Linked DNA regions of Macaca fascicularis. The main gene of each other region encodes a partner of the protein of the gene in region 2 in a complex. Links are inferred from orthologs where the notes say so. Each region holds a gene or a part of one and is shown on either strand. Other genes may lie near its edges.

Region 1 (3,624 bases), on a different chromosome or scaffold from region 2:
TAGTGAGAGGATGGTGTTAAATACTAAACTCCCCAAGGGCATGCGTGTCAGTGTTTCCTAAAATGGTCAAACACTCAACTTCCCCAAAAGCTGAAATTGCAATTGACTTCTTGAGATAGAGTACGTACTTTTCAGAATTGTTTCCTTTTCCCTGACTTAAGGTTAAGTGTGAGATTTAGGGTTAACTGAAAAGAACAACTCTTCAAGAAATACCTGGGAACTTGTAGTCTTCCAGGTTATCTGTATGTTGCCATAGGGTAATTTTAACATGTCATTTATACTACAGTATACCCTGAATTAATTCAAAAGAAAACACATCTAACATGTCTTAATTTTTTGATGCAGAAGAATCACTGTTTCAGGTTTCTGTTAACATAAGATTCCAATAAAAATAAAGTTTGTATTCGGTTCTTTGGTTTCTCTGGGTTAACTACTGAAACACACTATACTTCAGAAGTATTATACTATGCTCGATTAGTCTTACTGAAAGTTCTGGAAAATCAGAGGCTATTAATGTGTCGATGCTCATGCCCTTAGTGGTGTTATTCAGCGTCCTGGGAAAATAAACTGAAATGTGGCTCAAAATATGGCTCTAAGCTCAACAGGGCACAATCCACTACTTGCAAGTCTTCCCACCCCCTACTTTCCTAGGAAATGATTCTATTTTAGGTATTAAGTACCTCTCTCAACACAGCTATATTTAGTGCAGTTTTACAACTTCCCTTAGTATCAATAACACTTCTGTGACCAAACAAATAAACAAAACAAATGATTACAAACTGGTTTATTTTTTATGGGAAAGTGTCAACATCTTTATTGCTAATATAAGCATTTAATGTCAAAGAAATGAAGGTAATTTTACAAACTCAATTTTTGTAAGTACATGAAATTTCTATTTCATTATATGGTTTTGTATCACATTCATTCAAATGCATTTCTCTCCCTTACAGGGACTATTCCAACATCACTCCTTTGGAATTATTTCAGTCATCCCTAACATGTGACTTTACCAAAGACCTTGAAGCTAAACAAACAAGCAAAACAAAATTTCAATGACTTTTAGATGAATGGAATAAGAAATAGTCATCACATGTCAATTAGGGATGTTTATCTCCAACAAGACACTGTCAAAATGTTTCTTCTGATACAGCAGTTATAAGTCAGAGCCTTCAAAAAACAAGGGCAGAACAAGAGCACAATAAAAGAAGCACCTGCAACTTAAGCCTCCCACAGTCCTAAGCCTGATATGCGCAAAGCAAAGCCTCTTTCCCACAAACTCAATTCCATCCATTTGAGCTTTCAGAGATAGATGCCCAAGAACTACCATTAATGTATACAGCATATTGACTCTAGTTGCATCAATTATGCCTGAAGAGTTTAATACCCATCCAAGTCCAAAGGTGGAAGAATACATACACTGGTATGGTAATAGGCAAGAGCAGGCTGTAAAAGCAAAGGCTGGCTGTGCTAGTGCAGCCCTGTGGGAAGTTTTCTTCCACAGAGGCTGAGTAGAACAGTCCTGTTAAAGAAACCAGTGGAATAAGAACAGTCAATGTAGGAAGAGACAGAAACATTCTTCTCTTCCACTTATTACCTGCCACTGTGTTTTAAAAGGTATATGGTACTAAGAAAAGTTGGCTGTTGCGTTTTATGTTTTTTTAATTATGAACTAGCGCTGCTCCACTTCTTCCTGCTTCTTACTTTGATGCGTCATCCTAGCTGCCTGTGGTATCATATTAGGAATCCCATCAATGATTGGATAAGCTATTCCCAACTCTTCATTAATCAATTCATTTGTTGATGCTTCATATCTGGGGTGGAAAAAAAAAAGAACAAAATGAGTTGTGGAAAAATAAAATAATTGAAGAGCCTGATTTTCAACAAATACCATCATTTATCCAATTCTTGGTATGGAGTTAATCCCAGAATAGTCTTCTTTCATTAAAAGCAACGATAGCCAATTCAACCTTTTATCTTAGAAAAATTCTCTTAGAATCTATAATTATTCCCATTTTAGTCAGTTTCTCTCATATTCTCTTTTTCACCTTATTCACAAGTTATTCTTTAATTTTTTTTTCATACTAGTCAGAAAAGATCCCCCTCTCTTATCCAAATATTCCTTCATTACTTTGGTCAACCCCCAAATCATCTCTGTTAATTTACTACTGGAATAAACACTAGAGAAAAATCAACTTCTTCGTTTTAGAATAAATGCTAAGCAGAAAAACTTAACTAATCCATTAGAAGGAAATCACTGGAAAAGGTGAGAGGGCAGAAATGAGGAAACTTTGGAAAGCAGTAAGTCTGCCGTGAGCTAGTTATAAACGCAAATCAAATAATTTCAAGGTTTGAGAAAACTGAATATGTTTATTATGGGAAAAAAGAAATATGAAAAATTGCTAGCAATCTACCACTCAAAGATAACCACTGACAACGTTTTGGTGTTTCGTTTATGCGATTTGTAATACTAGCGTTAGTGTTGTCAATATTCCATTTTTGGGAGCTTGGAAACTGTAGAGCTGTCTTCCCAAAAACTAGGTTAAAGAGGCTTCTAAGAAATCTGCTAGGCCACAACTAAGAGCCACCAGGCAGCATACACAGCTGAATTGCTTAAGATTGTCAGGCACCAGTTGTACAAGACACTTTCACAAGAATCTGGAGGGTAAAATACTTTTCATTATCTTGGCTTAAAAACCGGATGGCTTTGGACTTGTCCTGAATCGCAGTAATTCAAGAACCTGGTGGTACGTTAGAAATCATTTAGGGACCATTTAAGAACACAAATAAGCTGGGCGTGGCGGCGGCGCCTGTCTCCCGACTCCTGAGGAGGCTGAGGTGGGAGTTCTAGGCCAGTCTGGGCAACGTAGGGGGGCACCCTGTCTCTTAAAAGGAAAAAAAGAAAATACAAATGTTCAGGTCCCAACCCCCGAGCATTCCAAGTCTGCCCGTCTTGGGGGCTGCAGGGGAATCGGCATTTTTAAAACGGTCCCCGGGTGATTGCAAAGAGCAGCCGGTCGCGAAGCCTAAAACGCTTCGAGCCATTCCGGCAGGCTGGCTATGTGCTCTGGGAGATGTGGGACGCGGCTCCCCTGGCCTCCGGTCTCCCCCGTTCTGCCCGCCGCAGCGGGAGGTGCATGCACCGGCGGGGACAGAGTCCAGAATATGGCAGCGGAGAGTATTCACCGACCTACAAGTCCCCAGTGGCTGAGACAGGCCGCGGTCCACCACTCCCTTTCCGCCCACCGGGAGGCTGCGAAGGAAGGGCCAAGACCAGCGAGTCACCTGAGCGGCTTCTTGGAGAGCGGGCACACCAGGAACTCCAGCAGCGCCGGATCCAAGGCGCGGGGCGGCTCCTCCGTCTTGTTGCTCCGGTCGGCCAAAGGCCGCGAGCCCGACGCGTGCAGACACCTACAGGCGACCGCGGACCGCGCTGCGCTAGTTCCCCGCAGCGCTGAGGCGAGCCTGCCGCGTGCTCCGCTCAGCATGGTCTGGCAGCCGGAGACCAGGCCTCACTGCGCCTCCGCCAGCCGGGGCCGAGCTCCTCGCTCCGCGGTAGTACAAGCCAGCCGACCAGGCCCCGCCCCCTGGTGCTCTGGGAAACGCTGCCGGTGAGTAGGCGGGGCG
Region 2 (4,857 bases):
TACAAAAATTAGCCAGGTGTGGTGGCACATGTCTGTAGTCCTAGCTACTCAGGAGGCTGAGATAAGAGGATCGCTTGAGTACAGGAAACTGAGGCTGCAGTGAGGGGTATTCGTACCACTACACTCCAGCTTGAGCAACAGAGTGAGAAACTGTCTCAAAAAAAGGAAAGAAAGAAAAAGTTTGCTTATCTCTGTGCTAGATAATTATTTGTTGATTGATGAATGGAGGATTCAGTACTGGGTCTCTGATGATCCAGAAAGATCTAATTTTGAGTTAATTAATTGCACTGAATAAGCATTATGAAGAATGGAGAGGAATACAATTCAGCCCTGACCCGTATAGATTTATTAAAGTCAAGATTAATACACAGAAAATATTCTGGAGGACACTCTGATACTGACTATAAGTGCCAAAGGAAAAGTTAAAAAAAAAAAAAAAAAAAGAAAGAAAAAGACATTAAAGCACACAAGAATATATCCCATCACATCCAAGGAACTAGGATTTAATTGGTGCAGGGGAGGTGGTGGTTAGTGACCAATATAATTAGTTGAAAGGGAAGGGGGAAGAACATTCCAGGTTGGAATAAACAAGGGAACAACCTGGAACTTTAATAGAACTGTGAACTTAAAAACAAGAAGGAATGTAGGGATGAAGAACAGTAAATCCTTAAGGATTTGATCACGTCAGCTTTCCAATAAGAGCAATCCATGCCCTACTATCTGCATTTTTTTCAACTTCATTTTACTGTGTAGAATTGAAACAATTCAATATTCATTTGGGTTGGGGTTAAGCTGTATGTTTGAATGAATTCCTTCAATCAGATTTCTTCTCATTCCAGATATTCATTACTCTCATAAGCAGTTCTGAATAGGAAAGGTAAGAAATTTTGGCACACAGAGCCCTTAGAAAGTATTGCAGTAGAGTTTAAAGGAAGATGTGGTCACTGAGTCCTGGGGTACTTGATAGGGGTAAGCAGAGTACACCAGGATGAGAGAGATAAGTACAGAAGGGACCTGGCACAAAAACAGATTTTTGTTTTTAAATTTTGCCTAAGATCAACTATACAATGGTATAAAGGAAAAGAAAGGGTCTCAGAGTCAGAAAGCCCTGGGTTGGAAGCCCAGATCTGCCATTTACTGCTTTGAGACTTTGGATAACTCACCCTTCTTTGTGAGCTTTGGTTTTCTTCGTTCTAGGGCTAAAGTAAGGAATTCAGAAAAGCATCTGGCACTCAGTGGGCATTTAATAAATATCTATTTCCTCCTCCTCACATGACCACACACATAGGCTATAAGAACTCAGGCTAGGCTGGGCGCGGTGGCTCACGCCTGTAATCCCAGCACTTTGGGAGGCCGAGGTGGGAGGATCACAAGGTCAGGAGATCGAGACCATCCTGGCTAACACAGTGAAACCCTGGCTAACACAGTGAAACCCCGTCTCTACTAAAAATACAAAAAAAATTAGCCGGGTGTGGTGGCGGGTGTCTGTAGTCCCAGCTATTCAGGAGACTGAGGCAGGAGAATGGTGTGAACCCAGGAGGTGGAGCTTGCAGTGAGCCAAAATCGCGCCACTGCACTCCAGCCTGGGCAACAAAGCGAGACTCTGTCTCAAAAAAAAAAAACTCAGGCTAGTACTAAAATTCAACTATACTGTAAATTAAATTCTAGGGGGGCTATCAACTTAATCATTTTAACAGACTTATGAATAAACTTTTTTCTTTCTTTTTTTTTTTTTTTTTGAGACAGAGTCTCCCTCTGTTGCCCAGGTGGAGTGCAGTGGCGTGATCTCAGCTCACTGCTACCTCCGCCTACCAGATTCAAGCAATTCTCCCGCCTCAGCCTCCCGAGTAGCTGGCACTACAAGCGTGAGCCACCACGCCCAGCTAATTTTTGTATTTTTCGTAAAGACGTGGTTTCACCATGTTGGCCAGGCTGGTATCGAACTCCTGACCTCAAGTGATCCGCCCGCCTCAGCATCCCAAAGTGCTGGGATTACAGGCGTGAGGTACAGCCCTTCGCCTGAACAAACATACAGTTTAGATACAGTTAGATACAGTTTCCTACAATTAGGGCAGTCTTAATTCTGCATATTTCTATGCTAAATTACCATGCTCTGAAACATGCTTTGACAGCAAAAAAGCTAATGGATGCAGTAATGGAAACAATATCCAAGTTACAGAAATAAATAGCCCTGCTGTACTTAGCTCTGATAAGATCACTTCTGGGATAATACATTCAATTCAGGCACTACATATGAAACTAGAACTCATCCTGAAAAGGGAAACTGGGATAATTCTTTTTATTTGAGAGCTGTCACAAAGTTACTGCATTTAACCCTCACGATATCATGAAGCTGGTATGGCAGGCATGAATTCTATTATTAGAGATATAGAAAATTGAGGCTCAAAGAAAACAGGAATGAATCTGGAAATTGAGCACAGATATCACACACGTCCAAAATTTCATAATCCTTTAGAAAGTACTTGAAATTGGGGAAGGGTTTGGGAGGACGGAGGGTTAAAAAACTGCCTTGAAAAACAGAGATTAGGAAGAACTCTAACACTATCTATACACACGGATAAACACACACACTTGTGGAGGCAAAGACAGTTTGTGGAAGTCTACATAAAGTATTGTTAGCAGTACTACTTTGAGGAGCAGAAGTGATGGACAAGGAAGACTCACTTAAGAGTTCCCTGAACTCCTGGAATTAAATTACTGCGCGCCTATACTACATAGAACACATGCAAGTTAAAGTTTTATACCGTCGTGCAAGAACTAGATGTGTGCTGAGTGAACCCACCGAGCAGAGCACAGCCACGGAGAGGGAAGGTACTGTCCAGGAGCACACACTTCACTAAACGTCATTTAAAGAGCTGTCCAGCAGCGGAATGTCGTCCCCTGTCGTCCCCAGAACCCGTGAGTTCCCGCCCTTCTGTTCTATCATTGTAGGAGGGGCCGACCAGAGGTCCGGGCTCGACCAAAGATCCCAAAGACCCTCCCAAAGCCGAACCCCCTCCTTCGACCGCGGGGAGGGGCCGACTTGCCCTTACCTCGCAGAGGGTGAAGAGTCCGTAGGCCGCCAGCCACACCGTGCAGGTGACAGCGGTGAGCGAACGCAGCGAGAGCCGAGGGCAGCTGAGGCAGAATTCCCGGCAGGACGGGGAGTAGTAGCGGCGCTGCAGGGCCAGGCGGCCGCCGCAGATATCCGAAAAGCTCCGCTCATCCTCCATGATGCCCCGACTCGGCCGCCAGCACCGCACCGCGCGGCGCTCCACAGCGATCGCCCGCTCTAGGCGTCTCGCCTGCTCCAGACCCGCTTCCGGCAGCCGCGTCACCATGCCCCGCCCTAAGCCTGCGCAGCCTCAGTTGCGCGCCGAGAACCCTGTGTGGGGTTGATGACTGTGCATTCGTCCGGGCCGGCCTTGACCCGGCTTCTGTGATTGTCTTCGAACAAAGCCCGTCGGGGGCAATAGTTCAGCGGACGGATTAAAACCGTTTTTAGACCGGGCGCGTTGGCTCCCGCCTGTAGTCCAGCACTTTGAGAGGCCAAGGTGGGAGGATCGCTTGAGCCTGGGAGGTCGAGGTTGCAGTGAGCCGAGATCATGCCACTGCTCTCTAATCTGTGCGGCAGAGCAAGACCCTGTCTAAAAACAAGCAAATCCACAGTTTGTTTTTTGTTTTTGTTTTGAGATGGAATGGCGCGAACTCGGCTCACTGCAACCTCCGTCCCCCGGGTTCAAGCGATTATCCTGCCTCAGCCTTCTGAGTAGCTGGGATTACAGGCGTGCGCCACCATGCCCGGCTGATTTTTGGGTTTTTAGTAGAGACGGGGTTTCACCATATTGGCCAGGTTGGTCTCGAACTCCTGACCCCAGGTGATCCGCCCGCCTCGGCCTCCCAAAGTACTGAGATTACAGGCGTGAGCTACCGCACCCAGCCCAAACCCACAGTTTTAATCACGCTTTTGCTTGGCAAGGTGATTTCTCTAAGCCGGAAAGACGCAAGAAGAGTCCACGGGTATTCATTCCACTTTTTTCCTGTGCCGGGTAGTTTGAGGTGCTGAGGATGCAGCAGTGAACGATGTTGATGACAGTCTCTGCCCTCAAGTAGCTTCCTTTCTAGTAGGAGACAATATGGAAATAACTTGAGAATATTGTTGGCAATACTATGCTGACTGGCAGGGATTGACTGAGGACTTTACATAGGGCAGTCATGGGAAGTCTCTAAGAGGACACTGGAGTTACAAAGGGTGAGGAACCAGACAGGACTGAAGGAGCTCTGGAGGAGGAATTTGCCAGAAAGGAAGACCAGGAAAGACAAACCCCTCGAAATTGGAACAAACTTGGCTTAATGAAATAATCAAAAGGCCAGAAAGGTTGATATGTGAGGAAAACAGTTGGAAATGGGGGAGGTAGGTAGGGGTCAGATCCAAGAGGGTCTTGTACGGAGTTTGGATTTCACTGCCTGAGAGTTCTGTCTCCCAAATGACTGCTTGGACCGTGGTAGACAGGCAAGACCTGGCTGGGAATTAAGTAGGAGCGGGAGATGGAGATGGAATTGATAATAAAATTACTGAACTCATGCATAATAGTGGTGTATGGGTTCCATTTTTACTTCTGATGTGACCCAGGATTGGCTGTGTGGACTGTCAAAACACTGGTGATGGGCTGCGTGTAGTGGCTCATGACTGTAATCTCACACTTTGGGAGGCTGAGGAGGGCAGATCACTTGGGTCAGGAGTTCAAGATCAGCCTAGCCAACATGGTGAAACCCCATCTCTATTAAAAATACAAAAAAAAATTAGCTGGGCATGGTGGAGCGTCCCTCCCCTAACACATGGAGGTTACAGTTTGA

The links.
Region 1: PIGH (region 2) and PIGY share a complex: the UniProt entries of both Homo sapiens proteins name them as parts of the glycosylphosphatidylinositol-N-acetylglucosaminyltransferase (GPI-GnT) complex. The link is inferred for Macaca fascicularis from reciprocal best matches to the Homo sapiens genes PIGH and PIGY.

The regions. Positions count from the first base shown.
Region 1 is NC_088379.1:94,070,291-94,073,914, forward strand, and holds PIGY (phosphatidylinositol N-acetylglucosaminyltransferase subunit Y), read right to left. Parts: upstream 1,670-3,624; 5' UTR 1,575-1,669; coding exon 1,359-1,574; 3' UTR 770-1,358; downstream 1-769. Other genes in the region: PYURF (protein preY, mitochondrial), read right to left, coding at 1,670-1,811, 3,283-3,485. UniProt on the Homo sapiens protein: Part of the glycosylphosphatidylinositol-N-acetylglucosaminyltransferase (GPI-GnT) complex that catalyzes the transfer of N-acetylglucosamine from UDP-N-acetylglucosamine to phosphatidylinositol and participates in the first step of GPI biosynthesis.
Region 2 is NC_088381.1:135,500,806-135,505,662, forward strand, and holds the start of PIGH (phosphatidylinositol N-acetylglucosaminyltransferase subunit H), read right to left. Parts: upstream 3,304-4,857; 5' UTR 3,234-3,303; coding exon 3,054-3,233; intron 1-3,053. UniProt on the Homo sapiens protein: Part of the glycosylphosphatidylinositol-N-acetylglucosaminyltransferase (GPI-GnT) complex that catalyzes the transfer of N-acetylglucosamine from UDP-N-acetylglucosamine to phosphatidylinositol and participates in the first step of GPI biosynthesis.